Linked DNA regions of Pelodiscus sinensis. The protein of the gene in region 3 purifies or fractionates together with the protein of the main gene of each other region. This does not show direct contact. Links are inferred from orthologs where the notes say so. Each region holds a gene or a part of one and is shown on either strand. Other genes may lie near its edges.

Region 1 (7,915 bases), on a different chromosome or scaffold from region 3:
TAGGTCATATGCTGCAGCCCCCTAATCATTTTGGTTGCCCTCCGCTGGACCCTCTCCAATGCGTCCACATCCTTTTTGTAGTGGGGGGCCCAGAACTGAACACAGTACTCCAGATGCTCACTCCTGTTCTGGCCATGAGTCACAGAAATAAATAATCTGTCAGACAATGGATTTTTACTCAGTGTGCAGCTTCATAGGTCATTTACATTCCCTCACTCAGGTCTTAAATTCTCAAAGATTATTTCCCTGTGGTTTCCCATTCCCCTACACTTGGGGTTCTGGGTGTTAGCTCAGTGGGGAGAGGGAGGAAAAGATTGGGGTGAACACCACAGAACTGAAGCCTCACACCTTGGCACTTTCTACAGGCCTGAAGTATGCCTCCTGCTGGTTTGAAAATGTTTACCAGAGCTCTGCTAGAGTGGGCTCTGATGAATTTGAGCCCTGCACTCATCCCATGCATTTCCTAGGAAACCTACTCAATTAACAGTTTACACTGTTTCAAAAAGTTCTTTAATGTTCCTAACAGCAATAAACACAGTCCAGAAACCCTCTGAGGAGAATATGGGGTTGATCCCCAAGGAATAAATAGTTAAACCAGCTGACTGTATACAATGTTATTGTGCTATAAAATGTCAAATAAGGTCTTTTATGAAAGCTTGTAGTGTAATGTCCCTATGTTTTATGTAAGTCACATCTTTCCAGGAGTTACATACAATCCCACAGTAACACATACAGGCAGTCCCCGGGTTACGTACAAGATAGGGACTGTAGGTTTGTTCTTAAGTTGAATTTGTATGTAAGTCAGAACTGGTACATATTGTACCCCAGGTGTCCCCGATTCAGCGCTGCTGAAACTGACCAGCGGCTGACTACAGGAAGCCCGAGGCAGAGCTGCTTTGCCCCGGGCTTCCTCGAATCAGCTGCTGGTCAGTTTCAGCAGCAGCTGACTTGGGGACACCTGGGGTAGAGCAGCTGGGGTGCTGCCAGGTTGGTCCCCGCAGCGCCGAGGTGCGGTGCTGCGGGGACCAACCCGGCAGCGCCCCAGCTGCTCTGTCCCAGGCGTCCAGATTCAGCCACTGTTGAAACTGATCAGCAGCGGCTGAATCGGACACGCCTGGGGCAGAGCAGCTGGGGTGCTGCTGGGTTGGTCCAGTAGCGCCGCACCTCGGCGCTGTGGGACCAACCTGGCAGCCCCCCAGCTGCTCTACCCCAGGCTTCCTGATTTAGCCGCTGCAGAAACTGACCAGCGGCGAGAAAAGCCTGGTCTGCTGGGGAGTGGGGCACACTAGCTGCGTCCCCCCCCCCCCCAGCCGACCAGGGAGACGCGGGCGGCGGGACCGCTGAGACGCGCCACGGTCCCGCCGCCTGCGTCCTCCGCGGCTTTGCTCCGCGTCTCCCTGGTCTGCTGAGGGAGCCCCCCCAGCAGACTAGGGAGACGCAGAGCGGCTTTTCTCGCCGCGGGGTTCCCTCACCCCATTCGTAAGTAGGGATCCGACATAAGTCGGATCCACGTAACCCGGGGACTGCCTGTAATTGCATTTGTAATACAATGGATCTCAGAAGTATTGCATTTAGCTCAGTACAGTTTAATACATTGCAGAAGAGGACACTCCCCACTATTATAGCAACACTTCTCTAGTTTGGTGCATTCCCACCCTCAATAGATGGAAACAGAGGTAGAAAGAGGGTCAAATTGCAACTTCAGCTACATCAATTGTGCAGCTGAAGTCGAAATAGCTTAACTCAGCGTTTGGTGCTGTCTACACAGCAGGAAGTTGAAAGAAGAACACTCTCCCTTCAGCTTCCCTTACCCCATGTGAAATGAGGGTTACAGGAGTCGGAGTAAGAAGTCCTCCAGCTTGACATTATTTTGAAATACAGGCTTGTAGTGTAGACATGCTCCTTGTTATTTTGGAATAACATCAGTTATTCCAAAATAATGTTGTTGTGTAGACGTACCCATAGTGAAATTCATGTTTAGTGTATCTGCCATCCCCATTTCTGTGACTCAGGAATCGTTTGTTGCAAATTGGTAAAGGGCATAGAAGATACATAGGAGTTTACGGGGATCCCATAGATGACTGGTGCTTCCCCATAATGGGGGGACACTAGCTAAGGGGGAAGACATGCGACCATCCCATGTGTCTCTCCTTCAGTGACTCCCCTCCCACTTTGTGTTACCCAGCCCCATGCCACATGAGGGTGAGGATTCTATGTCCTTCTTTCTCCTGCACCTCTCTCCCACCGCATTTGCTACTTTCTCTGCCCTTGGCAGTTGGGCAGAAATCAGGACACAGCTGTTTCTGCCTAAAAGGGACTGAATGGAAGGTGAGAGAGAGAGAGAGAGAGAGAGAGAGTGTGTGTGTGTGTGGTTGTGCCCACAAAAGCTCATGATACCATCTACATGTTTTGTTAGTCTCTAAGGCTCATCTAAACTACATCCTCTTCCGAAAGAGGAATGTAAATGAGGCTGATCAAACATGCAAATGAAGTGCAGATTTACCAATCTTGTGCTTCATTTGCATAATTGCGGGCGAGCGCTTTTTCGAAAAAGGGTTTTTCGAAAAAGAAACTTCAGTCTAGAAGGAATTCTTTAAAAAAAAACCAACCCTTTTTTGAAAGAGCCTGTACTCCTGAAAAAATGAGGTGTATGGGCTTTTTTGAAAAAGGGCTTTTTTATTGAAAGAACCCCATCTCAACTGCGCTTTGTTTTTTGAAAAACCCTTTTTCGAAAAAGCATTCTCCCACTATTATGCAAATGAAGCACAAGATTTGTAAATCTGCACTTCATTTACATTTTCAGTCGGGCTCATTTACATTTCTCTTTCAGAAGAGGAATTTAGTTTAGACGAGCCCTAAGGTGCAGCAGGACCATTCGTTGTTTTTTAACATTTTTATGTATGTGAGAGTGAGCCTCCAAATCAGACTCTCTTATGCAGAAGCAGCTGACAAATGTGTTGTTTAGTTGGGATAATAATGCTTCCTTTTCTGGCTGATCATATGTTTCACAGTGTAAATCGAATTGCATTACTTAACCTGATGCTAATGAAGATGATGACTTCACGTAAGATCAACAAGAAATGTTTTATCCCAAAACAGCATGTTTCTATGAGTAAAGACAATAAATATTGGGAGTATAATGGGAATATTATGATATACCTGAATCCTTCACCAAGGAGACAAAACTGTCAGGATGTTTAGCCTTACAAAAGGAGGGTGACAACCAATGTTCCCTCTAATCTTTTCTATGTGTTGATTATTTCCATCCATGTGCAGAATACATTTTTATGTGTATCAAGGCATTTGCGAATAGGGTTGCCAGATGGTTTAACAAAAAATACCGTACCACCCAAAAAAACCTGGGAAGAAATTCCGTTAAGAAAAAAAAAACAGCAAAAGTTGTTGAGCAAAAAGAAAAAAAAAAGGGATTGAGTAGGGCCGAAATACAGTCGCGGCCCTTTAGTTCCCAGCCTGCTCCATCCTCCCCTTGCCCCAGCCAGCCCAAGCTGTGCTGCGTGTCCCAACCACCCTTCCACAGACACCTGAGCTGGGAAAAACAGAAAATGTTCTGAATTTTTTTACTGGATGGAAGGCGCAAATACCGGTGGCTGTCCAATTCAGTACCGGACACCTGGCAACCCTATGTGTGAAGGTGTACCACTAGCAGAAGCAAAATCCTAGATGTGGGAAATCTGCTAATCAGCTGGAGAGCATTTGAAGCTCTCTTTGAGTGGCTGCACAGGCGCACAGCTTACAGAGAATATTGGTGCCAGCCAACATGGCTGAAAAACACTGAAGACTTCATTAAACAATACAGTATCCTGATTGGGGGGGGGGAAGGGGGAGAGTAGGGTGTCCAATTCCATCCTGAAGCCCTTCCCCCTCCTGCCATCCCCTTGCCATCTCCTCTCCCTGTCACTCTGTTCCCTGAGGACTGGGCCTCAGGGATTACTTGGGGAGCCTCGCACAGGGTGGTCCCCCAGCAGTAGGGTCCCCCTGCACTCCCTTTTTGAAGGCAGACAATTGTAGAACAATTGTAGAACAATCAGAAGTGTTAAACTGAATGTAAAGAAATGAAACCAAGATAGGAACATAGTAGGGGTATCAATAACAGTAAACACTGTGATTGGGATCATTACAGTGTTTCCGAGCATTAAAATTCTGAAAATATAGAATACAGACATAACAATATTTAGTATATTTCAGAAATACAAATTGCAGTTTTTTTTCAATGATTGATGGCAGTGGTAAGCTTCAAATTTGTTTAAAATTGTAAATACAGGGCATCTCTGCTATTAGTTCGCCCCATATATATCCGTTTCATACTTAAATCGTGTGCAACACAAACCAAACAACCACAAACAAAAACCCCAACCAATTTGTGCAAATGGAAGTCAGCTGCAGGAGAAAAAAAATCACCACTTTGGGTGTAAGTCCAAGTTTTTTGGAACAGAACTTGGACTTGTAGCGAGGACAGCCGGTACATCAATACAATGTGTTCAACTCCTGTCTACAGCTATCAGGGGGTAGGGAAACTAAAGTTTAGCGTTTCATTTTAATTGTGGAAAACACTGGTTTTTATGAGCAGCTAATGCTGGGGTTCTGCAGTCCCGGGCCAGTAGGCTGTGTGGGGTGCCTGTTGTCACACCCAGCCGCGCCTTTCCAACGCTTTGACCGGCCCCTTCTCAACTCCCTCGTGCTCTGCTAAGGAAACGCCTCCCCGTGCCGGACCCACAGGCAGAGGCGCTGTGGTGGAAAGGGAGGGGCGGCGGCTCTGCGAACGCAGGGACTGCGGGAAGGGCGGAGCGCGCCTGTGTTCCCCGCCCCTCCAGGCCCCGCCCCCTCGAATCCCCGCTGCGCCTGCGCGCGTTTCTCGTGACGCTGGATGACTCTACCCCCAGGCCAGTCGGTGACCCCGGAAGCGGAAGTGCAGGACGGCGGGGAGTGCGGATTCCGGTTCCGGCGGCGCTGGTGCCGCTGCTGGGGGGAGCCCAGCAACCGCCTCTTCTCCCACCTCCTCCTCCCGGCCCCGCCATGCTCCCCGTGTTCCAGAGCAGCCGCCGCGAGTTCACCTTCGGGCCTTGGAAACTCAGCGCCGCCCAGACCCACATCATGAAATCTGCCCAGGCCGAGAGGTGGGGGCGGGCTGCGGGCCGGCGGGGGTTGGGCTGCCTGCGCCCGCTCTACGGGCTGCGGCCGGGCGGGCGCCCGTGGACGCTCTGAGTTGTCAGCCTGAGGTTTGAGCCCGGGTCTGACTCGGGTCAGCAGGCCCCCGGGATTTGGGCGCTAACGTCTGGGCTCCTGCCCTGTCATTCCGCAGTGTGGATACAGCTTAAACCACAACCCATGTGCGGTCTGTGGAGAGCAGCTTGGATGCAATAGCACAGGTGTCGGACCTCGGGCCAGCGATTGTAAATCTAGGTGTTTGACGCCATGTAACGGTTGCTCAGACATGAGCTTGGAAACATTAAGGCTAAACTAGAGACCTTATATAATGGCACAGCTGTACCGCTTTGTCTCCTGTGTAGCTAGCTATGATGATAGAAGGGCTTAATTAAACTGACCCCCCGCCCCCAAGCACCGGGAGCTAGGGATGTAAAATCCTGTTCAATAAGTTAACCAGTTAAACATTAAGCTGCTGTTACCTGGTATGCATCACCTGTTAAGGGTGATGCTTACTGGGTAGTTGGTTAACCAGTTACTGCATCCTGCTGGGGATGAGAAATGGTGTCACCAGTAGGGATGCAAAAGTATAACCATTTAAATGGCTAGCCCATAAGCCTGGTGTTAGCAGTTAATATTAACAGTTATATGCAGGCTCCCACCTTGCTCCTGGGGAACCGGCTGCCACCCTGCACTACTGGCTCTAGCAGTTATACAACTACCCACTTTTTAACATCCCTAGTTGGCAGGAGAGGCTCTACCCAATGACATAGCACTTGCTGTATCAGTGCTTTTGTGGATTAAATGTATGTTGGTGGGGGTATGTGTGTTCCACACTCCTGACCAATAAAACTTGTACTGATAAAAGTGTTAGTGTAGACATAGTCTGAGTCCATAACCATTGGGCCTTCAGACCTGGGTTTACTACATAGTGTAGGCAAAAACCTTGGCAAAACCCAGCTATCTTCTCAAGAGCCACAGCAAAGAGCACTACTAATAAAAGGGAACCCCAATAAATGTAAAGTGCATATTGCCACCATTTGGGGTCAAGAATTTCTTTTGCATCCTTTGTCTGATGTTGTGGGTCATCTTTTTGTTTGAGAGGTAGGGATGTGGTGTTTTTCTTCTTCTTCCCAAGGACATTTATTGTGGACTCTTCAGCTCATGTTTTCTTACCAAATGGACCACATGCCTTTTCAGATGTGGCAACAATTTCTGTTTCTATAAAGCAGTAGGAGAAACTGCTTCCTTCAGACTTGACTATTGTTTGTTTGAAACCTGAATGTTAAACTAAATATAAATAGTTCAGATACTAACAGTAATATTTGAGTTTGTTTACAAGCAACTTTTTTTTGATAGTTTGTTATCTCTGGATCTCATATCCTATAGTAAATTAAATCTGTCATACTTCAGCTATTTTAAGTCTCACCAATATAGGACTTTCAGATTGTTGCATTAATTTTTGTGAGATTCATTTGCTTATCATAAACTTATTTTGGAAGGTACTCTTTGTATAAGTCTGCCTTTTATTCAAATGTTTGTAAAGTCCTGAATAGACTTTTAAATTAAAAATGTCATTTTATTGAATTGCATTCCATAGCAAAGTGTATGATAAACATGAGGAGATGAAATCATAAGGTTATGACATTATTTACCAAACTATCTGGGAGTCATAGTCATACAGCCAGATCGCATGGTGTTTGTTGTGAGCTGCACAAACACAGTGCAATTCTACTCTTAGGAGCATTTTTTGCACTCACTTTTTTCTCATTCTATCTGTGCCTGATGTGTCTATTTACAATTACAGACCGGTAAATTTACCAGGTAAATTAGTTGAAACTATAGCAAAGAATAAAATCATCAGACACATAGATGCACATAATTTGTTGAGGGAAAGTCAACATGGTTTCTAAAAAGGGAAATCATTCTTTACTAATCTACAAGAGTTATTTGAGGGGGGCCAACAAATATGTGGACAAGGGGGATACAGTAGATATAGTGTACTTAGATTTCTGGAAAGCCTTTGACAAGATCCCTCACCAAAGGCTCTTAAGTAAAGTAAGTTGTCATGGGACAAGAGGAAATGTCCTCTCATGGAGTGAAAACTGGTTAAAAGACAGGAAACAAAGGGTAGGAATAAATAGTCAGTTTTCAGAATGGGGAGGGGTAACTAGTGATATCCCCCAAAGGTCCGTACTGGGACCAATGCTATTTAACCTATTTATAAATGATCTGGAAAAAGGGGTAAACAGTGAGGTGGCAAAATTTGTAGGTGATGCTAAACTGCTCAAGATAGTTAAGAACAAAGCAGATTAACAAAGCAGACTGTAAAGAGCTCTCACCAAACTAAGTCAGTGGGCAACAAAATGGCAAATGTAATTTAATGCTGGTAAATGTAAAGTAATGCACATTGGAAAAAATAATCCAAACTATACATACAAAATTATGAGGACTGATTTAGATATAACAACTCAGGATAGAGATCTCGGAGTCATTTGTGGATAGTTCTCTGAAAACATCCGCTCAATGTGCAGCAGCAGTCAAAAATGCAAACAATGTTAGGAATAATTAAAAAGGGATAGAGACTAAGAGAATATCTTATTGCTTCCATAAAAAACTATGGTACACCCATATCTTGAAGACTGTACAGCTGCAGTTACCTCATAAAAATATATTGGCATTGGAAAAGGTTCAAAAAAGGGCAATACAAATGATTAGGGGTTGGAACAGGTCCCACATGAAGAGAGATTAA
Region 2 (7,841 bases), on a different chromosome or scaffold from region 3:
TTTGCTTATTGGATAGTCGACTAGTCCTTAACATCTTTAGATGATACTCGACCTACTTCGTCAAACACTGAGCTCTATAGATGAAAAACACTAAGTAAGACTATCAAAATGTTATACTGTGAAGAAATTACTATAAATACTAAATTATTAAACACTTACAAGTACTAATATCAAACATAAGCACTTAAACTATTTAAGACCCCAATCTTGCAATAAGGTTCATGCAAGTGTGAGGATCATGCAAGTGTAATGCTCTCTTCATACCGAGCTTGCTGCAAGATTGTGGCCTTTTTTTAAAGGTCCTTGACAGGATCTATTTGTCATCCAGCCATTGCAGCTACAGAAACCCAGAATACATACTATGACACCTATTTGTCTAGAAGACACAGGTCTCTCACTATGTCCTTTGAATCCTTTTTCCATGGTCAGTCTATAAGGATATTTAAGAACCATCAGTACTGTGCGATAGTTTTTAATTTTTATGGTTCTCCTGATGATTCAATGCCCTTTGAAATATGAAACATGAAACACACTACATAAAACCATATTCTAGATTCACTAACAATAAAATTAAGGGGTTATTTTTACACATGAACGCACTTTGCAATTACTGATGAAGTCTACTGAACAGATGTCATGATAGAAATTTCAACTGCAAAATTAATACAGAGCATACACTACTGTACCTGTCAGGTAAGATGCAAACTGTTTTGGTCCACAACGGATTGCATAGTGGGTGGTGGTTTTCACTGCTTTTTGCTCAGTCTGTGAAGTATTCCTGGGAATAAAAAGCGTGCCATCTGATGTTTCCCCCCACCACCTCACTCGGATGAGAACAGTAGCAGGCGGCTTAGAGACCATCCACAAGATTTTACTGACTGTTAACTTCAGAAAGCAGCGCAACTGGCCTTCAACAAGAGGTGGTAAACTTGTAGAAGGGGAGATATCACTGATTCCTGCAGAGATACAAAAAAGAAACAGTATTACTTCTCAAAAACATAAATGCAGTTAACATATTCGAGATACAGATCACTTTATAGAGTTAAAAAAATACTTGGTGTTTCTAATATTCTATGCCACACTTAGGGTTACCCTATAGATGCATATAACATTACAGCCTACAACATGGCTACTCAACGCACGGCCCATAATATCAGCGGCCTGCAGCCTGTCTGTTTGCTGCCTGCGTTGTGGTTTGGGTTTACATGGGGCTCAACACGTGGCTTGCGGGTGGGATCTTTTGAACCTGGCCTCCACTGGGAACACGCTCCACAACGGCGAGTCAATATAATGATCTTCTGTTGATATACATTTTAGTAGTTAAATTCCTGGACTGTCATTGCTCATTAAGGGCATGTCTACACTGCAACACTATTTGGAAATAACTAGCACTATTCTGAAATAACTTAGTCCATGTCTACACAGCAGGCAGTTATTTCGAAATAGTGTCAAAATACTGTCAAGCTAGAGGGTTTCTTACTCCGACTCCTGGAGTGAGGGAAGTTGGAGGAAGAGCACTGTATTTCAAAATAAGTGCTGTGTAGATGCTCCCTATTTCAAAATAAGATTCACAATTGATGTAGCATAATTTGCGTAGCTTATTCGAGTTAAGCCGTGCAGTATAGATGCACCCTAAAAGTGCTGTCATATGGGTGGTAATTGGGTAAATATTGCATTTTATTAATATCAACAGATCTGACTTAAATGGGGCCTAAGTGTTGTGTAATCTTGCCTTAATCTTTGTATTCATGCCCATCAGTGTGAAAGAAGCTATTTGCATGTATATACAACCACACTTCAGTTGCAGCCCTCAACATGTACTGTAAGTATCATTATGGGCCCCAGGGCTTCCAAAATTGAGTAGCTCTGGCCTAACAACATATGTACATGGCAAGTTTTTGGCATTACTGTAACACACCTCATGTTCACATCAGGGATGTAAGGGACTAAACAACTTGCTTCCCCCCTCCCCTTGCTGCCTCTGTGTCAAGGTCTGCAATGAGGGGGAAGCAGAAGCCGGTGTGAGGGGAGGAGGAGGGGAGGCAGAGCCACAGGGGTTCCAAAGCCAGGAGTGCAGAGCGACAGCAGAGGTAGCGAGCCCCACCACGCCTTTATCAGCTAATCAAGTAGCTGATTATCCGCAATTTAACATCCGTAGTTCACATACAAAATATATTGCAACATATATATACTGCTTAGTGAGGAGGGAGAAGCAGTAACAGGAAACTTGGAAATGGCAGAGATGCTCAATGACTTCTTTGTTTCGGTCTTCACCGAGAAGTCTGGAAGTGTGCCTAACATAGTGAATACAAGCAGAGAGGGTAAGTTTAGAAGATAGGATACACAAAGAACAAGTTAAAAATCACTTAGGAAAGTTAGATGTCAGCAAGTCACCAGGTCCTGATGAAATGCATCCCAGGATACTCAAGGAGCTGATAGAGGAGGTATCTGAGCCTTTAGCTATGATTTTTGAAAAATCATGGCAGACAGGGGAGATTCCAGAAGACTGGAAAAGGGCAAATATTGTGCCCATCTATAAAAAGGGGAATAAGAACAACCCAGGAAACTACAGACCAGTCAGTTTAACTCTGTCCCAGGGAAGATAATGGAGCAGGTAATTAAAGAAATCATATACAAACACTTGGAAGGTAATAAAGTGATAGGGAATAGCCAGCATGGGTTTGTGAAGAACAAGTCATGCCAAACTAATCTGATAGCTTTCTTTGATAGGATAACGAGCCTTGTGGATAAGGGAGAAGCGGTGGATGTCATATACCTAGACTTTAGTAAGGCATTTGATACGGTCTCGCATGATATTCTTATTGATAAACTTGGCAAATATAACTTAGATAGGGCCACGATAAGGTGGGTGCATAATTGGCTGGATAACCGTAGTCAGAGAGTTGTTGTTAACAGTTCTAAATCCCGCTGGAAAAGGATAACAAGTGGAGTTCCTCAAGGGTCTGTTTTGGGACCCGTACTGTTCAATATCTTCATCAATGATGTAGATATTCAGATAGAGAGTACGCTTATTAAGTTTGCAGATGATACCAAACTGGGTGGGGTTGCAACTTCTTTGGATGATAGGGACATAATTCAAAATGTCCTTAGCAAGTTAGAGAAATGGTCAGAGGTAAACAGGATGAGGTTTAATAAAGAGAAATGCAAAGTGCTCCACTTAGGAAGGAACAATCAGTTCCATACATACAAGACGGGAAGTGACTGTCTAGGAAGGAGCATGGCGGAAAGGGATCTAGGGGTCATAGTGGACCACAAGTTGAATATGAGTCAACAGTGTGATGCTGTTGCAAAAAAAGCAAATATTATTCTAGGTTGTATCAACAGGTGTGTTGTAAGCAAAACTTGTGAAGTCATTCTGCCGCTCTACTCTGCACTAATTAGGCTTCAGCTGGAGTACTGCGTCCAGTTCTGGGCGCCACATTTCAAGAAAGATGTGGAGAAATTGGAAAGGGTACAGAGAAGAGCGACAAGAATGATTAAAGGTTTAGAGAACATGACCTATGAAGCCAGGCTTCATGAACTGGGCTTGTTTAGTTTGGAAAAAAGAAGATTAAGGGGGGACATGATAGCAGTTTTCAAATATCTAAAAGGGTGTCACAAGGAGGAAGGAGAAAATTTGTTCCTCTTGGTTTCTGAGGACAGGACAAGGAGTAATGAGCTTAAAGTGCAGCAAGGGAGGTTTAGATTGGACATTAGGAAAAAATTCCTAACTGTCAGGGTGATCAAATATTGGAATAAATTGCCAAGGGAGGTGGTGGAATCTCCCTCTCTGGAGATATTTAAGAACAGGTTAGATAGACATCTGTCAGGGATGGTGTAGACGGAGCTTGGTCCTGCCTTGAGGGCGGGGGGCTGGACTCGATGACCTCTCGAGGTCCCTTCCAGTCCTATTATTCTATGAATACACATTCACACCACCGCTGAGACTGTGACTGCAAAACCAACCCTAAGCCACAATGAAAATCGGAAAGTGGTGATGTTACAACTTGTCTGCCCAGCACCACTCTGCAACACGCCCCCCTACCCTTCAGTGAAAGGCCTCCTAGGGCGATTGATGGACAAACTGCAGATCTCTTCTACATCTCCACGCCTATAGCCTCTCCCGACTCCAATGTGCCCTCGGGGTACGTGTTGCGCCAGCAGTGTTACTCCCTATTGCCGATATGGTTGTAAGTACCCACCAAGACCCATATGGCAACTCCCAGCCCTCTGCGGCACCGCAAGGGCACACCCCACATTATAATCCACACAGGCCGCCATGTACCTGCCACCCCCCACAGAGCGCCAAGGTGCTGGCCCCCAGAATCGCGACCCTCCACAGCGCGCAGGGTGCTGCCCCCCCTTCAGATGCCCATCAGAAGATCTGCCCTCTCCTACGGGGCCCGGAGCACCCACCACTACGTGACCGGCGCCACCCACTGCTCGGGGGCCCGCTGCGCCCCGGGGCACCGCCTCCCCGGCTACCGCCCCCGGCCCCGGGGGCCACCCCCCGGCAGCTGCTGCCCCCGCGCAGGGTTCTGACCTCTCCTCTTGCGGGCGGCCCCGCCGCCTCCCACCCTGGGAGCGGGGCCCTTGGGCCTCTTCTGCTTCATCCCCACCCCCCAGCCGCTCCCCCGCGCCAGGCGCGGCCCGCAGCTACCGCCGCTGCCCGGCAACCGCCGCCGCCGCCGCCTCAGCCCGCCGCGGGGCCCGCTGGGACAGGGCGGGAGAGTCTCCGAGCCGCAAGCAGAGCCGCGCAAGCGCACAGCCCAGCGGTAAGAACAACAATCCCCAGGGGGCGCTGCGGCCCCGCTTCCGGCTAAAGAAGATCGCGCGAGGACGGGCACTTCCGGCAGGGGAGGCGCTCCCCGGCATGAGCCCTACCCGGGGGCGGACTCCGTTTCCCGTGGTGCAGTGGGGCGTGGCAGCAGGCACTTCCGGCGCCGGTGGGTGGGGGTAGCCGCTGCTGGCTCGGCGGGGTGATACCTGCCCTTGTGTCTCGGCGTCTTCCCATCATGTCGACCCTGGAGAAACATCTGCACCTGGGCCGCCTGCCCCCACGGCCCGCTGTGCCCGGCGGGGGCGGCCAGTCGGGATCCAAGATGCGCATGGGGTAGGTGGGGGAGCGGGCAGGCGGCGCTGGCCCCCCCGGCGGGGAGGGTCCCTGTCCGGGGCTGGCAGAGCCGGCTGGAGACGGGGGCGGGCTGAGTCTAGGTCACTGATCCCGGGGCGGGAGGGGCGGGGGTTGGGGGGAGACGGGCATTTTACCACTGGGAAGTTGGAGACCAGCAGAGGAGGCGGGGGCGCCTGTTGCGGGGGGATGGGCAGAGGGGGCGGGGGTTGCTGGGGGGATGGACAGAGGAGGCGGGGGAGCCTGTTGGGCGGGGGTTGCTGGGGGGATGAGCAGAGGAGGCGGGGGAGCCTGTTGGGCGGGGGTTGCTGGGGGGATGGGCAGAGGAGGCGGGGGAGCCTGTTGGGCGGGGGTTGCTGGGGGGATGGGCAGAGGAGGCGGGGGAGCCTGTTGGGCGGGGGTTGCTGGGGGGATGGGCAGAGGAGGCGGGGGAGCCTGTTGGGCGAGGGTTGCTGAGGGGATGGGCAGAGGAGGCGGGGGCGCCTGTTGCGAGGGTTGCTGGGGGGATGGGCAGAGGAGGCGGGGGCGCCTGTTGGGCGGGGGTTGTTGGGGGGATGGGAAGAGGAGGCAGGGGAGCCTGTTGCGGTGGGCGGAGGGGGTGGGCAGAGGAGGCGAGGGGTGCCTCTTGTGGTGGGGTGGGCAGAGGAGCTTTACATTTTGGAACCTTATGTCCTCGTGTTGCAAGTCTTTTTTAATTTGCTGGTTGGGGCCTTTTTTAACAGGGCGACAGGCACACAGACTTTAATTTTGTACTTTGAGGGAGACTGGCCAAGGAGGTGAGGGTCTCTGTTGTGGGGTGAGGAGAGAGTTGTTGCAGGTGGGAGGATGCTGGTTGTGCAGCGGTAATGGGGATTGGCAGAAGGAGGCGAAGATATCCCTTGTAGGGTGGATAGGGATTGACAGGACAGGCAAGGGTGCCAGTTGTGTGCAAGGGGACATTTGGGACATTTACATCAGGTATGGGAGAGGAATTTAACATATTAACTTGAGATGTGTTTCAGCAGATTGAACAGTTTCACTAGAGGGTAACTTGACACTAATAATTATAATAGTTTTTGTTGGAAATTCAGTCTTGAATAAGGATATTCACAAATGTCTATGAGATGTTTATGGACCTGGCTTATCAGGCCATCTGCCTGTTGACATGAAGAAAATTAGATGAACCAGTACTACTGTGTGAAGCTGGGTGGTAGTTGAACTCTGCCAGGCAAGTAAGTCCTTGCTGAGCAATCTGCCACCCGGGATAGCACAATGCAGAGCAAACAGGTATCAGCTTTATAAACAAATTTAAATGTATTAGTAGGGGACTGTGCCCCCAGGCACCAAGGAGGGCTGGGCTGCTGCCATGCCAGCCCAGGTCCCTTCGCCCTTCTCCCCTTCCTTCCCCCACCGGCCTGGGTCACTTCTCCCTCCCCCAACTCTAACCCTCCCTCTCCTGGCCGCATGGTGTGCTAGGCCCAGCTGTAGTCCCAGCAGCTGGGGAGGTGCAGGATTGGCTGCCTGCCCTGCGTGGGGCATAGTGAAGCATAGGTAGTGCCGTGTGCACACGAAGCTCCGGGGCACTGCAGCCTCTTATGGTGGGGCAAGCTGCCACAGGTGGGCTGCTGTTCCGACCTCTCCCCTGTGTGGTCCTGCCTGTGCTGCTCACTGTCCCACCCCTGCCTGAAGAGCCCAGGGCTGCGTAGGTACCCGCCGGGAGCAGAAAGGAGGAGCAGACAGGTTTGTGTGGTGGCTCGGGGGGTGCTCTGACAGCTGCGGTAAGTGCAGCTGCTGGGGAGGGGGTAAGTCTCTGTGGGGCATCTGGAGTTCAGGCAGTCAGGCACCTTACTCGGGCTCCCCAAGAGCCTGGGGGCAGGGAGACCCTCGAGCCTGCTTCTGGCACTCAAGCCTGACTGGGAGCCCCTCTCCTAATGCTTGTCCCTGGCTGCTGTCTCTCTTCTCTCTCCACCCGCGACCCCCCCCCCCCCCGGACCTGGGCTGTCATGGCTGCCATGTGGGGTCTGCTGGCTACTGTGCCATGTTTCTTGGCATTGAAAGCCCTGTGGGGTGAGGGTGGAGAAAGGGGAGTAGGGGCTTGGTTTAAAATAGCAATTCCAAGTGGCATGGGGAAGCAGTGAGGTCGGGCTCAAGCTGGGATATGGGGGAGAGAGGGAGGAGGCAGGCTGGGCACAGAGTGACATGATGATGTCAGTCTGTCGTCCTGCAGGAAAAGCTTTTTAATATAGAGACAGAGATGAGAGCTAAGCCCTAGTCAACACTTAAAATTTAGAGCAGCCTTGCTCCATGACTCATGGAGATGAAAAATTTATTCCCAAGTGCTATGGTTCAGCTAGATGCAGTTAGCTCAACAGAATTCTTCTGTCAGCTTAGCTCGATTACCTATGTGAATTGAAAAACCTTTCATTGACACTGGAAGTGTCTACCCTATGGAGCTGCAGCTCTGCTGCTGTAGTGTAGATGTGCCCTGAGAGAGAAAGAGTGGCTAATGTTTTTTGTGAGGCTCTTCCAGATGGAGGAGAGATGAAAGAAAGGAAATGGTTAGGAAAGACTCTTGGCAGGAGCATAGTAATAGAGATGGTAAAAGGGAGATGATAGGCTGGAATTAAGGGCACTTTTAAATGTGAGAGGAAAAATCTTGAGCTTTTATATGGAAGAAAAGGAGGTGTCCAAGTTAAGGACATGCTTATAACATTCTGAGAGGAATGTCATC
Region 3 (7,079 bases):
CAAAACATTTAGAATACATTTTATACAGTGTGTTTTAACAAAGTGTATTTTTATATTGCATCACAAAACAGTTGATTTATATAGCATGTTATAAATATGAAGTGGTAAGTAGCATTAATCTTACTAACATTAAATGGTACTCCAAGCTCCAAAAGGTTTACAAGGATCTCAGTTCTAAAGCCCATGGAGTTCTAAATACGGGTTGTGGTTCTCCACTTTATAGAAAAAAAAAACATGTGTGTGGACATGGTTAGACTCTAGGAACTGGATTATCCCTGATGCATGCCAAAACTCACACAGAGAGCTCCTGGGGAAGTGGTCCCCAGGCAGAGCACGCCATATTGTTTGGTCAAAATTACTGGTTTTGTCCTCATCCAGAAAATAGACTGTACCCCAACCAGGTTAATCTCTTAGAGCACATCAGCATTCTTGCAATGCAACTTTATTGGAATTGTTCTGCCAAGGACCCTGAACTGGAATATTCAGGAAAGCTCACTGGGATTGGAGGGTGGACAATGTACATCATTATCAGCCATGCTCTGGCCCTCCTACTGTTCCTTGCGGTCTGTCAAATCTCTAACTCATGCTATGCATACTCTGTATTCTCAGGAAAAGTTGGTAGAGGAGGACGAAGAATGGTTCACAGAGATTACTGATTCCCCCTTCCTCCTTTTTTTGTATGAGAAGAGGGAAATCTATGGGCACACGTCCCTGCATATTCAGATCCGGGGTAGAGTGTGGGAGATGATCCAGGCCTATTCAGGATTTTACCTAATAGTAAATGACAGCAGATGTGCCAGCTCACATATGCCTAAAATAACAGTTAGCTGCAATATTTGGCTACTTTATTTATGACTTCATTTTTATGGGCATTTCCATTTCCTTCTAGGAATCATGATCCCGAGTGCCTCAAAGTGTCCACAGTAGATACGTTTGTGTGTGTGCAGCTGGCTGGCTGGTTAAAATCTGCAGAGCTGGGCGCTCAGATTCCCATGAATCCCACGTCTCTCTGTTTCAGTTAACATCCCTGTTGATTCTGGGACCCAGTCCAGGGAAGTATGGGGAAGATTGTACAGATTTTACCACTGCTCTGGGTGTTTGTCCTTTGTGGGCTTTTGTGTAGGGAAATTGATGGACCATTACAAGAATATATATCGAAAAGACATTTCTAAAAGTGCTTTTAGAAGTCCTTCACACTTTTTCAGTATTTCTGTTTAGTGCATAGATCTGTTTTCTCCCTCGCCAGAGGCTGTCATTTTAATTAAACTTCTCAATAGAAGTCCCTTTTGATGATTTTCAAACTAATGCCATGGCACTGTAAATTACTACATATGTGCTTAATTTTAAGCATGTGAGTGGTCCCATTGCCTTCAATACAACATCAATGGGAACCACTCATGCTCAAAATTAAGCACACCACTGTTTGCCAAATTAGGGTCTCAGACTGAAAGGATCAGCTTTTCCATTACAAATAATAGAAAGCATTGAAAATCAAGGTTCTGTAATTTTTAGAAATATATTTGCATAGTTTTGTTGTGCAAAAGCGGTTTAACTATCATTTCCTATTTATCAATTCCCAAACATGATTTTTCTAAAATTGTCAGATCAAATATGAGTGACCACCTAAATATGTGAGTCAATGTGTGTGTGCTTATATATAGCATAATTCATTTCATTTGTGGAAAATCATGCATTTGTATAATTGTGTATGTTCCTTTTCGTGATTACTGCTCAAAGTGTACCCCTTAATTAATGGATATGGGACTCAAAGATATTATATCTCAAATAAGGAATATCCCTCCAAGTTTGGCTGGATGATCATCCTAGTCAATTCTATTAGATGTATACATAAGAAATGATTACTGACTTTTAATGCAGCTGGTCAGTTGCACCTATACCTGAAAGCAATAGAAAACAGTAATTCATACCATGGTGTACAATGGTATTATAGTACAAAGCATGCTTATTTTAGATGGCATCTTTCATATAAAAATTACTGCAAAAATACTTAAGGTAAATAATATAATAGTCAAATAGCAGAGACAGTGCAGCTGGTGTGTAGGTAGTGCGTAAGGGAGTATGGAGTCTCCTCAAATCTGAGTGTGGCAGAAGTGTGTGTGTGGAAGGTGATGGGAGACGAGAAACCCCTCCCCAGAGTACGGATGTTGTGTGGGGGGCTAAGTATCCCCTCAGTCAGAGTGTGGAATGTGGGAGATTGGGAAGCCTCTGTGGAAGGGCCAGAAGGGGTGGGGAAGCCCCTATTGGAAACGTGGGTGTAGGAGAGGGGTTGGGTAGCCCCCCAGTCAGTATGGAAGATGGGGGGAGCTAGGGGAGACCCCTGTGGAAGGGGCAGGAGGGATTGGGAAACCCATATGACAGGGGTGAGAGGATGGGGAAGCCCCCCCAGTCAGTGTGGAAAGGGGGGTGAGGAGGCCCCATGGGCAGATGCAGGGGGATGGGGTAGCCCTCCCCAGTCAGTGTGTGTGGGGGGGTTAGGAGGCCCCTGGGCCAGATGCAGGGGGATGGGGTAGCCCCCCCAGTCAGTGTGTGTGGGGGGGGGGTTAGGAAGCCCCTGGAGCAGATGCAGGGGGGATGGGGTAGCCCCCCCAGTCCGTGTGTGGGGGGGGGTTAGGTGGCCCCTGGGGCAGATGCAGAGGGAGGGGGTAGCCCCCCACAGAGTGTGTTTGGGGGGGGTTAGGAGGCTCCTGGGACAGATGCAGGGGGATGGGGTAGCCCCCCCCCGAGTCAGTGTGGAATGGGGGTGAGGTGGCCCCTGGGGCAGATGCAGGGGGAGGGGGTAGCCCCCCAGTCAGTGTGTGGGGGGGTTAGGAGGCCCCTGGGGCAGATGCAGGGGGATCGGATAGGCACCCCAGTCAGTGTGGAGAGGGGGTGAGGTGGCCCCTGGGGCAGAGGCAGGGGGGTGGGGTAGCCCCCCCCAGTCAGTGTGGGGGGGGCGAGGTGGCCCCTGGGGCAGAGGGAGGGGTGACCCCCCCAGTCAGTGTGGGGGGGGCGAGGTGGCCCCTGGGGCAGAGGGAGGGGTGACCCCCCAGTCAGTGTGGGGGGGGCGAGGTGGCCCCTGGGGCAGAGGGAGGGGTGACCCCCCCAGTCAGTGTGGGGGGGCGAGGTGGCCCCTGGGGCAGAGGGAGGGGTGACCCCCCCAGTCAGTGTGGGGGGGCGAGGTGGCCCCTGGGGCAGAGGGAGGGGTGACCCCCCCCAGTCAGTGTGGGGGGGGCGAGGTGGCCCCTGGGGGGCAGAGGGAGGGGTGACCCCCCAGTCAGTGTGGGGGGGGCGAGGTGGCCCCTGGGGCAGAGGGAGGGGTGACCCCCCAGTCAGTGTGGGGGGGCGAGGTGGCCCCTGGGGCAGAGGGAGGGGTGACCCCCCAGTCAGTGTGGGGGGAGCGAGGTGGCCCCTGGGGCAGAGGGAGGGGTGACCCCCCAGTCAGTGTGGGGGGGCGAGGTGGCCCCTGGGGCAGAGGGAGGGGTGACCCCCCCCAGTCAGTGTGGGGGGGGCGAGGTGGCCCCTGGGGCAGAGGGAGGGGTGACCCCCCCAGTCAGTGTGGGGGGGCGAGGTGGCCCCTGGGGCAGAGGGAGGGGTGACCCCCCCAGTCAGTGTGGGGGGGCGAGGTGGCCCCTGGGGCAGAGGGAGGGGTGACCCCCCAGTCAGTGTGGGGGGGCGAGGTGGCCCCTGGGGCAGAGGGAGGGGTGACCCCCCCCAGTCAGTGTGGGGGGGGCGAGGTGGCCCCTGGGGCAGAGGGAGGGGTGACCCCCCCAGTCAGTGTGGGGGGAGCGAGGTGGCCCCTGGGGCAGAGGGAGGAGTGACCCCCCCAGTCAGTGTGGGGGGGGCGAGGTGGCCCCTGGGGCAGAGGGAGGGGTGACCCCCCCAGTCAGTGTGGGGGGGGCGAGGTGGCCCCCACTCAGAACGCAGAAGGCGAGGGCGGGGCCCCCTCCCCGCGGTACGTGCGCAAGCGGTGCGCGTACCGGCCGCCCGCCCGCGCCGAGCCCATCCCCTCGCGCTGCCGCCTCACCCAGCCCCGCCCCCCGGCGCGCCACCGCTCCCCCCGGGAGGGGGCGGGCCGTCGGGGGCGCGCACGGTGGCGGCCCGGCGCCATGTTGGAGGCTTGCTAAGCCCGCGGTGTGTGTTCGTGCCGCTGCCGGTGCCTGTTTCCTGTGCGGGGCGGGGGGGCAGGAGGCGGGAGCGGCGCCGCGGCGGACCATGGATGTCGAGAGGCTGCAGGAGGCGCTGAAAGGTGGGGGCCGGGCCGCGCGGGGGGCGCTCGCGCCGCCGCGGGTGGGTCCTGGCGCTGAGGGAGGCCACGGCCCCTGGGGCAGGCGAGGAGGCGGCGCCCCAGGCCGGGCGGAGGAGGCGGTGAGGAGCAAAGTCCCCTCCCCCCCGTCGCTGAGGCGGCAGCGCTCCCTGGGACACGAGGGAGAGCGCGCGGGGGGGGGGGCGGTGTAGGTGGGCGGCTGGGGGGGGCAGTGTCTCTTCTCTGCCCTTGACCCCCCCTTGCCCCGCGGAGCCCAGCGCCCCCGTTGTCCCCCCTCCCCTTATCCCCCGCCTGCCTCCCTGGGCGCAGCCGGCTCTCTCGTGGCTCCAGCCGCTCCTGGGAAGTTGCGAGTCAACTTCGAGTGACTTTCCGCCGTTCAGGTGCAGGCGGTTCCCTCCTCAGACAGCGGCGGGAGTGGGGTACCGGGGGGGGGGGTCTCGCTTTCCCGCACACTGGGACTTGGCAAAGCGTCTTGTGGGACCAAGGCCACTGATGGTAACTGGGATTTTCTCATCCCCCTCCCCCGCTTCCCTTACCTGCAGATTTTGAGAAGCGAGGGAAGAAGGAATCGTGTCCAGTGCTGGATCAGTTTCTTGGTCATGTTGCCAAGACTGGGGAGACAATGTAAGTCTGATTCCTTCCCCACTCTTATCAGTTGAGGCTCATAAGAGCTTTTACCAATTTTAGGCCCAGAGCTTTAGATTTAATGCCCGAGTTTGGTTGACATGCAGCTTGATTTTGTGACCTAAATATTTTGCCCTTCATTCTAGTGGCAGTTCTTAGTGATTGAAGACCTCTCCAGTTTTGTTGGTTTCTTTCCTTTCATGCTTGTAGTTGACCCACATGAGTCTGATATGATTGAGAAGTTTCTCCTTGTGTGTTGTATAGACTTGGTTCAGGGTCATCTGTCGGGTTTTGTGGATCCTGTGAATGCCTGTTGCTTTCGCCGCATTTTATATAATACTCATATCTGGTTGCATAGCCTGAAAGAGGAGAAGTTTTTTTTAGTGTGTATTGTGAAGTCTTTCAAACGTGATATCCCATAGCATGATTCACAAAAGCAAGTGACTTGGTGATTTAGATGAATGTTTGCAGGCTTTGTGTACTATACTCACAGGCTGCCTTGCATTCAGTTTCTGTTTTTTAAGTCAAAGGTGAAAAACATAATTTAGAAACTGTCTGCCCAAAAGGGTATGGGAACTAACTTGTTACCTTGCATTTCATTAGGTCCTCCTTTCTTAGTCTACACAACTGTTCCCACTTCACTCTCCCTAGGCTTTTCTTTCATAGATCAGCATTAACTGGGGTTAGGGCCGCTTTTTTTTTTGGAAGGGACATTGTATTTATCAAAGAGCTGGAATATCTCTCCTTGTCAGAGATAATCTCTGGTGCTGCATTGTGTTACTTCCTCGGTGCCTCACCATTTGGCAGGAAGGAGAAAGGCTTCCCTGGGTGCCTTGCTGGTGAATTGCTCACTTTCTGGCTCCCAGGCTGCCTCCTTGTTTTTTGAGGCCTAGTACAGGCTTCAGAAAGGAATGTGTGTCTATACCAGTGTTTTATTAGGAACTACTGATTCACAGAGGCTTTGTTCTAGCTTATAGTGTGTCTAACTTGCAAGAGATCTGATTTTTAATATACTGTGCTATTACTCGTTGAATTTGTGGCCTTTAAAGGGAAAACTCAAGTCCCGAAATGCACTTTGCTCTTTGAATCAAAGGTTTCAGCTCAGCAGAAAAAGGCACAGCTGTAATACAGATATTTTTGCTTAATGGATTGTTAGATGGTCTGACTTGAAAAAAATGCTATTTTTGTAAAGTGTAAAATTACTCTTTAAATATGATAGCTTATATTTTGTCTGAAATTTTGTCAGGCTTTTGTTGACTAGTCTGTGTATATGGTATTTTGGAAGCTATAAGATATTTGTAAAAGTCACCTCACAGGAAATATGTAAGAAAACATATATGATAGGGAATTTAGACCCAGGTGCTTTTGCTTGCTTTCTTTTTAGGAAATATGTGGATTAATTTTGTATTCATTTATACAAAGGCCTTGATCCTGCAATGAGCTCTGTTTGAGATACAAATCATGGACCTGTACATTCTCAATATTTCTCTTAATTTTTTAATTACTTGGTATTGTAGTTGCTGTAGCTGCTTACTAGTTTCTCATTTGTTAGTAATAGTTCAACAAGTCTCTAGTGTTCTCTTTTGTACACAAACAAGGCAATATATGGAGTGACTTTGCCATTACATTTAATTTTGCTCCCATTAGACCGCAAGGTCTACATTATTTCTTCATCTGATATTTTGCAAAATTTATTTACCAAATTCATTTTGAAATATTCAAATAATTAGGACCCTCTATTTAGGGAGAGTCCACCATGTTAGTGATTCTGCGTGTTGGCAATGTTTCTCTTTTACAAGTACTGTGTAGAGTTGTACATATTTCTGCTGACATGTAACATAACGAACAAAAAAGGATTTTGTGTTAGGGAAGGAAACAAATGATATAATATAACAGGCTATTTTGCTGTGTTTCATTTCAGTTAATGTTATTTCTCTGGTTTTCAAGTAAAGGTATTGTGGCTTTCATAATGTTTTTTCCAAACTCTGTGTATCCTTGATTTAAAAAAAAAAAAAAGATAACTTCTGTGGCATTTGTACTTTCTGGTAGATTAAGTTATTAAATGTAATTAATGTGGTATTGAAAAATAAGATAAAATGTTTAAAAAAAGGTCTTTGAGGCTCTCATGGACATGCTATAAATTGCACATCTAGCATTGTAGGTGTTAATCATACAAATACTAACTTAAGTG
Region 4 (7,641 bases), on a different chromosome or scaffold from region 3:
ACAGTTTATTTTTAAATTATGCGATACATAAAATTAAAATCAGGTGCTTATAGTTATGAAATAAATGGTCTGGTTTTTATTCATGCTATTTAAATCTAAAATGAAGCATTTATAATTATACATTTTGTGGGGACAGAGTTCTGCAGCTGGGGACAGGGGAGAGGGAACAGGGTGCTGGGAGGGCAGAGAACAGGGCTCTGCAGCAGGGGACAGGGTGCCAGTGGGGACAGAGTTTGGAAAGTGGGGACGGGAATAGGGACAGAGTTCTGTAGCTGGGGACAGGAGAGTGGGGAAAGAGTTTGGAGAGTGGGGACAGGAGTGGGGACAGAGTTCTGTGGCTGTGGCCAGGGGAGTAGGGGCCGTGTTCTGTGGCTGGGGAGTGGGGTGCCAGTGGAGGCGGAGAGTCCCCTGCATCTCCCTCCTCCCAGGATTCTCCCCTCCCCTCAGGGAAACCAGCGCGTGCCTGCCCCGGGGCCGACCCCACCCGGCGCAGGGAAGCCCCAAACGCGCCTGCCCTGGGGCCGACCCCCCCACCCGCACAGGGAAAGCCTACGCGCACGCACCTGCCCCAGGACCAACCACTCTCCCCCGATGCAGGGAACCCGCGCATGCCTGCCAAGGGGGCCGACCGCCCCCCCAGCGCAGGGAAGCCCCGCATGCACTTGTCCCAGCGCCAACCCCTACCTGCACGCGCGCACCTGCCCAGGGGACCGACCCCCCCCACCCTCGCAGGGAAACCCCGTGCACGTGTGCGCGCCTACCCCGGGGCCAACCAGTGCAGGGAAGCCCCGCGTGTGCCTGCCCAGAGGGCCGACCCCCGTGGCGCAGGGAAACCCAGCATGCGCTTGTCCCAGCACCAACCCCCCCATGCAGGGAAGCCCCGTGTGCACGCCTGCCCCGGGGCCAACCCCCCCCCCATGTGTGCGCGTGCTGGGAAACCCCCTGCGTGCCTCCCGAGGGGCTGACTCACCCCTCCTTGAGGTAAGTAGTGGGGCTTCTCGGGGGTTGGAGGGAAATGGGGAAGGGGAACACAGGACGCCTCGCAAGGGACTGGTTGAGGCCTCGCGATCAACCAGTAGCTCGCTATCGACCTGTTGGTGACCATGGACTTAAAGGAATGACCGGTGGTAGATACAGAATTTGGTGTCCGCATTTTGTAATCCTCTTAAATTTAGTTGGCTAATTGGCATTTCAGTTCATTTATTACAGTTACCTCGAGTAACACAATAACCAACACAGTTTTGTTTTCAACTGAAAAATGTACGTTTTTATTTACAAGGGGGAGGGGGAGGAGACCTTCAATTGGGAGGGGGAGGAGCTACTCCTGGGAGGGGTGGCCCCTGCGAGTGCTTCTGCGGGGGCAGACCTGGACATGCAGAGCAGGCTGCATTGGGGCAGGCTGCATGGGGAGGTGGGCAGGAGGGGGCATTGCAGGGGCGGCAAAAGGAGGTATTGCAGGAGGGGGCATTGCAGGGACAGGAGGGGGCATGGGCAGTGCTAGGGGAGGGATGGCGGGGGCATAGGGTAAGGCCATGCCATAGTGAATGGCATGGGCTATGTGGGCAATGAGGGTGGTGATGGAGTCAGCCATCCATGTGCACTGGGCCTGGAAGGCGACTCAGGCCTCCTGGCGCCTACTGCAGGTCCCCCTCGACACACTGGCAAATCGATGCCTCGATGCGCTCGACGGCCTGCATGTGCCAGCGAAGGAGCTGGTCCCGGTGGCAGAGCCTGTGCCTGCGTGGTTGGGCAGCTGGGGATGCTGCTGCTGCCTGACTGGAGGGTCCCCGGCTTGTGCTTGGTCCCGCTGCAGGGAAGAGAAGAAAGGATGGGTCAGTCAGGTAGCCCAGACACTGTCCCCACACCTCATGCCCTCCACCCCTGAGCCCAGGTGACACCACAGTAGTGTGGCTTGGGCCCACTCAGTTCCCCGCCTACCCCCCGTGTTGTATGTTTGCATATAGGAGCGCCCCTGGAGTAGGATCCTCCTCCATGTATTGTAACCACTGGTCTGTGTCCTGGCCCCGTGGAGGGCGGGAGGGAGCTTGTGTTGCATTAACCTGTGGAACTCCCTGCCGGTAGAGGCTGTGAGGCTTTGGGCTAATCACTGGTATTTGACAGGGCGCGAGATGAATCCCCACACAGTGCCTGGGAGCACGTCTGGCAAAAGTGGTCTGGGCTCTCAGATCCCCATCACGTAGGATGTCTCCTGGACAGAACCAGGAGAGTGACTGGTGGGGGAAGGGTGTCCCATCCTTGCAGCAAAACTCAGGTGGCCCTAAGGGCAGCCCGAGCGCTTCCCCCGCTTCTCCCTCCCACTATCCCTCACACACGTAGCCCAGGGACATGTGTGGCCGCAGTGGGGACTTCCCTCGGGGAGCCAGCCAAGGCACCAGGAGCAGGCGAGGGGCTCAGTGGGGGCCACGCTCACAGGGCTGTGATGCTGCGGTTTTCCCAGGAGCAGCTGGCTGTGCCTCACAGCCAGGCATGGGACAGTGTGCCGTTCTGCGTGCTGCACCCTTGCAGAGGTGCAGGCTCTGGGCTGAGTCCCTGGGGCCCTAGCCGGTTCCAGCCGGCATCCACCCTTCCCCCGGTCCTGCCAAATGTGTGTGAGCAGCACGGTCTCAGGCGTGCCCTGCCGCGGCCACGTGCCTCTCCGTCACCAGGATGCATATGGTTGCACGTGCTGCTTGCTGCCTAATGCTATACAGCATGCAGCTCACGTGGCCTGAGTGACATGCTCTCCCCCTCCCCCCTCCGGGCGCCTGGCTCCCTCCCCTCCACATTCTACCCTTGTGAGTGCAAAGTGCAAGACTCACTGGTGGATCCTTCCCCGGCCTCGGAGGAAGCGCGGGAGACATCAGGGCTGCTGGAGGGGGCCTGCTGGGTGGCAATGCTGGCCTCATCCCCCGATGCACTGCTGTCTCCTTCCTCCACCTCGGTGGTCCTGGAGACGGGGGAGGGAGAGACGCACACTGCTGTCCACGGGCACATCTGGGGCTTGCAGGACTGGCTGGCCCAGGATGGCGTGCAGCTGGTCGTAATGGGGGCAGGTGTCTGCTCCTGCCCCCAGGCCCTCACTGGCCCGCACGTAGCCTAGGCGCTGCTCCTTGACTTTCGCCCAGACTTGTTCGAGGGTCCGGGCTGGATGGCCTTGCTGATCGAGCGCCTGGGCCATGTTGGTGAAGATGTCCGCGTTGCGGCGCCGCAAGTGGGTCTCGTGGAGGGCCTTCTCCTCCTGCCAGAGGTCGAGCAAGCTGTCCAGCTCCCCCAAGGACCACGATGGGGCTCGTTGTTTGCGGCCCCTGGGGCCTCCTGTGCTGGGGGTGCAGGTGGCTGAGCGCCCGGAGCTGCCATGCTGGCTGCGATGTGGCTGCTGGGCACGGCAGGGGCACTGTGGCAGACCTCAGGCAAGAGGTCTGAGGCATGCTCCTGCCATGTGCGCTCAGCAGCTTGAGTCTGCTTTAAGAGCTTGGGTTACCAAGAAATCCGGGGCTCCTACAGGGTCTCCCAGTGTCCAAACCGCTTTTTTCCGTTTAGCCTGCTTTTGCGCAAAAGTCTTAGCTAGCTGTCTACACTGGCCCTTTTACACAACAGTTTTTCGCACAAAGGACTTTTGCCCGAATGGGAGCATCAAAGCTTTTCCAGAAAAAGCACTGATTTCGGACAGTAGATCGTCAGTGCTTTTGCGGAAAATCAAGCGGCCAGTGTAGGCAGCTGGCAAGTTTTTGTGCAAAAGCAACTACTTTTGCTGAAAAAGTGGCCAGTCTAGACACAGCCCAGGGGTGTGTCTAAACTGGCAATTTTTTGCGCAAAAGCATTTGCTTTTGCCCCCAAACTTGCTAGCTGTCTACACTGGCTGCTTGAATTTGCGCAAGAGCACCGACGTTCTAATGTAAGAATTCAGTGCTTCTTGCACAAATACTTTGACGCTCCCTCTCAGGGATAAGCCCGCTTGTGCAAGAATACTTGCACAAGAGGGCCAGTGTAGACAGGCACCTTAATTTTTTGCGCAAGAAAGCCTGATGGCTAAAATGGCCAATGGGGCTTTCTTGCACAAAAGCGCGTCTATACTCAGCATGGATGCTTTTGCACAAAAGCACTTTTTGCGCAAAAGCATCCGTGCCAATCTAGACGCTCTTTTGCGGAAATACTTTTAAAGGAAAAACTTTTCCATTAAAAGTATTTCCGCAAAATCATGCCAGTCTAGACGCAGCCCAGGTGTTGGGGATGGGGAGCTATGACTCATGGCACTCTATAGGTGTGCGAAAAAATACAGGCAATGGAGATGGGGGGGACAAGGGCTGAAGAATGCAAATACGCTTTCCTCCAGTCTCTCTGGGAGTTTTAAAAACGGAGGTAATGTTTGTAGCGCGGCTCTGCCTGGGCGGCAGAAGACCGGCGGCGGTTTGTTGGTTCCAACAGTCTCCGAAAGTTCCTGTCCTAGCCACGTGGGGGCACGCAACAGGCAACCCCTATTAGCAGCCCCTTTCCGCCAGTGACTCGCGTGGGTCCCGCAAGGAGCGGGTAGGCGGGGACACGTGCGGATGACTGGTCTGGGGCCGGAGACACAGGGTTTCACTAGCGGGGGTGACTAAGGCAGGCTACGGGCGGGGTGCGGGGGCCCCGCTGCAGTAGCGCCAGGCCGCGGGCGGGGTCGCTGTGGGCTGGGCGCGCGGCAGGCAGCTCCCCGCTTTGCCAGCGAGCGCGGCTCAGAGCCTGCGCCCTGCGGCCCTGCCCAGGCAGCGCGTCTCGGCCGGCCCCGCCCCCGCCCCGCTTCGCCCTCGAGACAGGCGGCAGCTGCTGGGAGGCGGAGGCAGCGGCCGCGGCGATGGCGGACAGCGCCAGCGAGAGCGACACGGACGGCGCGGGCGGCAGCGGCGCGGCCCCGGCGGGCGTTGCGGCGGGCCCCGGCGCGCTGGGCCCCGGCGGCAAGGCGAGCGGCATCGTGATCTCGCCGTTCCGGCTGGAGGAGCTGACGAACCGGCTGGCCTCGCTGCAGCAGGAGAACAAGGTGCTGAAGATCGAGCTGGAGACCTACAAGCTGAAGTGCAAAGCGCTGCAGGAGGAGAACCGCGATCTGCGCAAGGCCAGCGTCACCATCGTGAGTGCCGGGCAGGGCCGCGCCCGCTCCCGCTAGCCCGGGAGGGAGGGAGGGAGGGAGGCGCCCGGCTCCCAGGCGCCGTTGGAGGCGGTGCTGGGCCGGGCGGCTTTCCCGCCTCGCTTTGAAGGGGGCCTGCCCGTGGGGGAGGGGAGGGTGCCGGGGCTTCGGGAGGCCCGTGGGCTGCCCCGTTGGGCGAGTGGCCCTGCCGCGGTGCGGGGTCGCCGGGACCCCCCGGCGTGCGGTGCCGTTCCCAGGAGGCGGCTGCTGGAGCGGGTCCCGAGTCGTGAGGGGAAAGCGAGGTGGAGGTGCTGGCTCGGGTAGTGTGTGTGTGGGGGGAGGGAGAGCGCCGTACCGCGGCCATTCCCACACATCTGCCCTAGGAAGGGCCGCCCTGGAGCCGGGCGGCGGGGGCACCATGCCAGCATCCCGCGCGCACCCCCCTTTGCGGGGGCACAGGCGCTTCCCTGACAGGCTCTCGTAGCTGTTTCCTGGCTGCTTGCTGCAGCCTTGCGAGAAGAGGGGGAAAGGGGCTCGCCGAGGAGTTCACATTTACAGCTCCTTGTCTAGCCGCTTGCACTTGCTGCAGTTTGATTGGGTCCTTAGCTCCCCGACCTGATGACATGTGTTAACGTTGTGTGTGCTGAGGAGGATCTCGGGAAGGTGCCACAACCCTCGAGCTTGTTGACACAGAGCTGGGTTTAAAAAACTGGATGTACTAGCATGGTTTGATGTGCTTGCAGCTCAAACAAGTTTCTTCCTGTCAAGCCTTTCAAGTAAAATGGAACTCTCGCCAGCTAAGGACCCAGTCAATCTTCTGAAAGTCTTTAATATATTCTTGCATAAACTGAACGTTTTTCTTTAACACAAATGCAGAAAAATTTAACTCTGGCTAAGTGTTTAAAATGGGTGTCATATGCATTAGTTTATTTAAAATATGTTTTTCTGTTTTAATACCCAGATGAAAAGGAGGATGAGCAATAATCATACTCCTTTAAGATTCTATGTTCTCTGCCTTTTGTTTTACAGTGTTTCTGAAGTATTATGAATATTGCATGGTTATGGCTGTGGTCCTGCCATTGGATCCTAAAATTTGTAACTTGAGAAAACAGGTTGATTTCCTCACCTTAGCTAATTAAATAGATTTGCTTGCTTCTGTACTAATAGATGGGTTCTAAACTGTGTAACTATTTGGATATTGATAATTAAAATGCAAATCTATTAAAATAAGTCAGGGTACTGGATTTGTATAGAATATAGAAATTCCATGAAGTTGCTAAAGCCCACCTGCAGTGGGACTTTGGCTTCCTTCCCTGAGCTTCAGTAAGTATAACTCTGGCCATGCTTAGAGGACCCTCTGTAACCTGTGCACAGCCCCCCAGGTGGCCCCAGACTCCTTGTTAGGTACCATTACCATGGTCTATTTGAGGAACGGTCACTAGTTTATGAACTCTTAAAAGAATAATTAGAACTCTTAACTGCATCATAAATTATGGGATTAAGTATTAATCCTGAGTAAAACAAATACTCAGAGGCTGTTCTAGTTTTTCATTGTTCACATTCTTGTAGATTGGGGTAGGCAAAATACAGATGGAGCCTGGGGCTGAGCAGCAGCCTCAGACAGGCTCCCTGCCTGCCTGTGCCATGTTCGTGGAGCAGATAGTGCGTGAAGTACCCTCTTCTTCTCCGATTTGCGGCACTCTGAGACGCAGATGGCCTCCGTGGCCAATTCCTTTGAGCAGTGGGTAGGGCAGGGAAGGCAGGTAGCCTGTCTGAAAGTCTCGTTGGGATGCCACGTAGGTAAGCAGCTCTCGGCCAGAGCCTACCTCTAGCCCTGTCCCCTCGTTCTCCCTGCCTCATGTAACCCAAACTCTCTGCATCTAAACCCATACTTCCTCCAAAACTCTGCACCCAAATCCCCTGTCCCAGGTCACAGCCCAAATCCCTGCACCCCTGCTCCAGATGTCAACCACTTCCAGATCCTGCACACCTCCTGCTCTCCTCCAGGTCAGAATCCTCTCCTGCACCCATACCCCCTCCAGGACTCTGCACCACAAACCCCTGCCCCAGGTCACAACCTCTCCATTATCCAAACTCCCTTCCAAACCTTACACTTCTTCCTGTCCCTACATTGAGCTCTGTTCTGCACCCAACTTTCATCCCAGCCCTGCACTTTCTCCATTGATGTCATAGAAGAGTGGAGCCCTTGACTACTTATCAAATTCTTGGAGTGCCCTCCCGCATCAAAAATTGCTGCCCTGGTTTATGTGTATAGTGGTTGAGTGATGGTAGTCAGAATTTCCCTGTCAAAACTAATATGCAAGCATATTGTTTATAAATAACCCTGCATATTTGTATTCTTTGAAATTTGGTCATGGTTCTACACACCCTTTCTTAGGAGAATAGACACATTGCTATGCATGATGATCCTTCTAAAGTGCAGATGCTTTAGCTATCATTTCTGGCCTTTCATCTGTGTCTGACCTGGCAAATGTATTACCAATAAAATGGATACCACTTTACTTCTTACTATTGGCAGT

Evidence for each region.
Region 1: the proteins of PPP4R2 (region 3) and TIPRL purify together in Homo sapiens (affinity purification with mass spectrometry; 5 studies listed by BioGRID and IntAct, counting the BioPlex papers as one, with this or other methods). This does not show direct contact. The link is inferred for Pelodiscus sinensis from reciprocal best matches to the Homo sapiens genes PPP4R2 and TIPRL.
Region 2: the proteins of PPP4R2 (region 3) and PPME1 purify together in Homo sapiens (affinity purification with mass spectrometry; 3 studies listed by BioGRID and IntAct, counting the BioPlex papers as one, with this or other methods). This does not show direct contact. The link is inferred for Pelodiscus sinensis from reciprocal best matches to the Homo sapiens genes PPP4R2 and PPME1.
Region 4: the proteins of PPP4R2 (region 3) and CCDC6 purify together in Homo sapiens (co-immunoprecipitation; 3 studies listed by BioGRID and IntAct, counting the BioPlex papers as one, with this or other methods). This does not show direct contact. The link is inferred for Pelodiscus sinensis from reciprocal best matches to the Homo sapiens genes PPP4R2 and CCDC6.

The regions. Positions count from the first base shown.
Region 1 is NC_134711.1:149,454,485-149,462,399, forward strand, and holds the start of TIPRL (TIP41-like protein), read left to right. Parts: upstream 1-4,903; 5' UTR 4,904-5,034; coding exon 5,035-5,135; intron 5,136-7,915. UniProt on the Homo sapiens protein: May be a allosteric regulator of serine/threonine-protein phosphatase 2A (PP2A). Isoform 1 inhibits catalytic activity of the PP2A(D) core complex in vitro. The PP2A(C):TIPRL complex does not show phosphatase activity.
Region 2 is NC_134711.1:322,164,263-322,172,103, forward strand, and holds the start of PPME1 (protein phosphatase methylesterase 1), read left to right. Parts: upstream 1-4,836; 5' UTR 4,837-5,015; coding exon 5,016-5,113; intron 5,114-7,841. Other genes in the region: C2CD3 (C2 domain-containing protein 3), read right to left, coding at 687-956, 4,544-4,613. UniProt on the Homo sapiens protein: Demethylates proteins that have been reversibly carboxymethylated. Demethylates PPP2CB (in vitro) and PPP2CA. Binding to PPP2CA displaces the manganese ion and inactivates the enzyme.
Region 3 is NC_134721.1:11,131,034-11,138,112, forward strand, and holds the start of PPP4R2 (serine/threonine-protein phosphatase 4 regulatory subunit 2), read left to right. Parts: upstream 1-4,071; 5' UTR 4,072-4,212; coding exon 4,213-4,246; intron 4,247-4,572; exon of another isoform or gene 4,573-4,644; intron 4,645-4,806; coding exon 4,807-4,888; intron 4,889-7,079. UniProt on the Homo sapiens protein: Regulatory subunit of serine/threonine-protein phosphatase 4 (PP4). May regulate the activity of PPP4C at centrosomal microtubule organizing centers.
Region 4 is NC_134718.1:22,305,018-22,312,658, reverse strand, and holds the start of CCDC6 (coiled-coil domain-containing protein 6), read left to right. Parts: upstream 1-4,633; 5' UTR 4,634-4,831; coding exon 4,832-5,104; intron 5,105-7,641.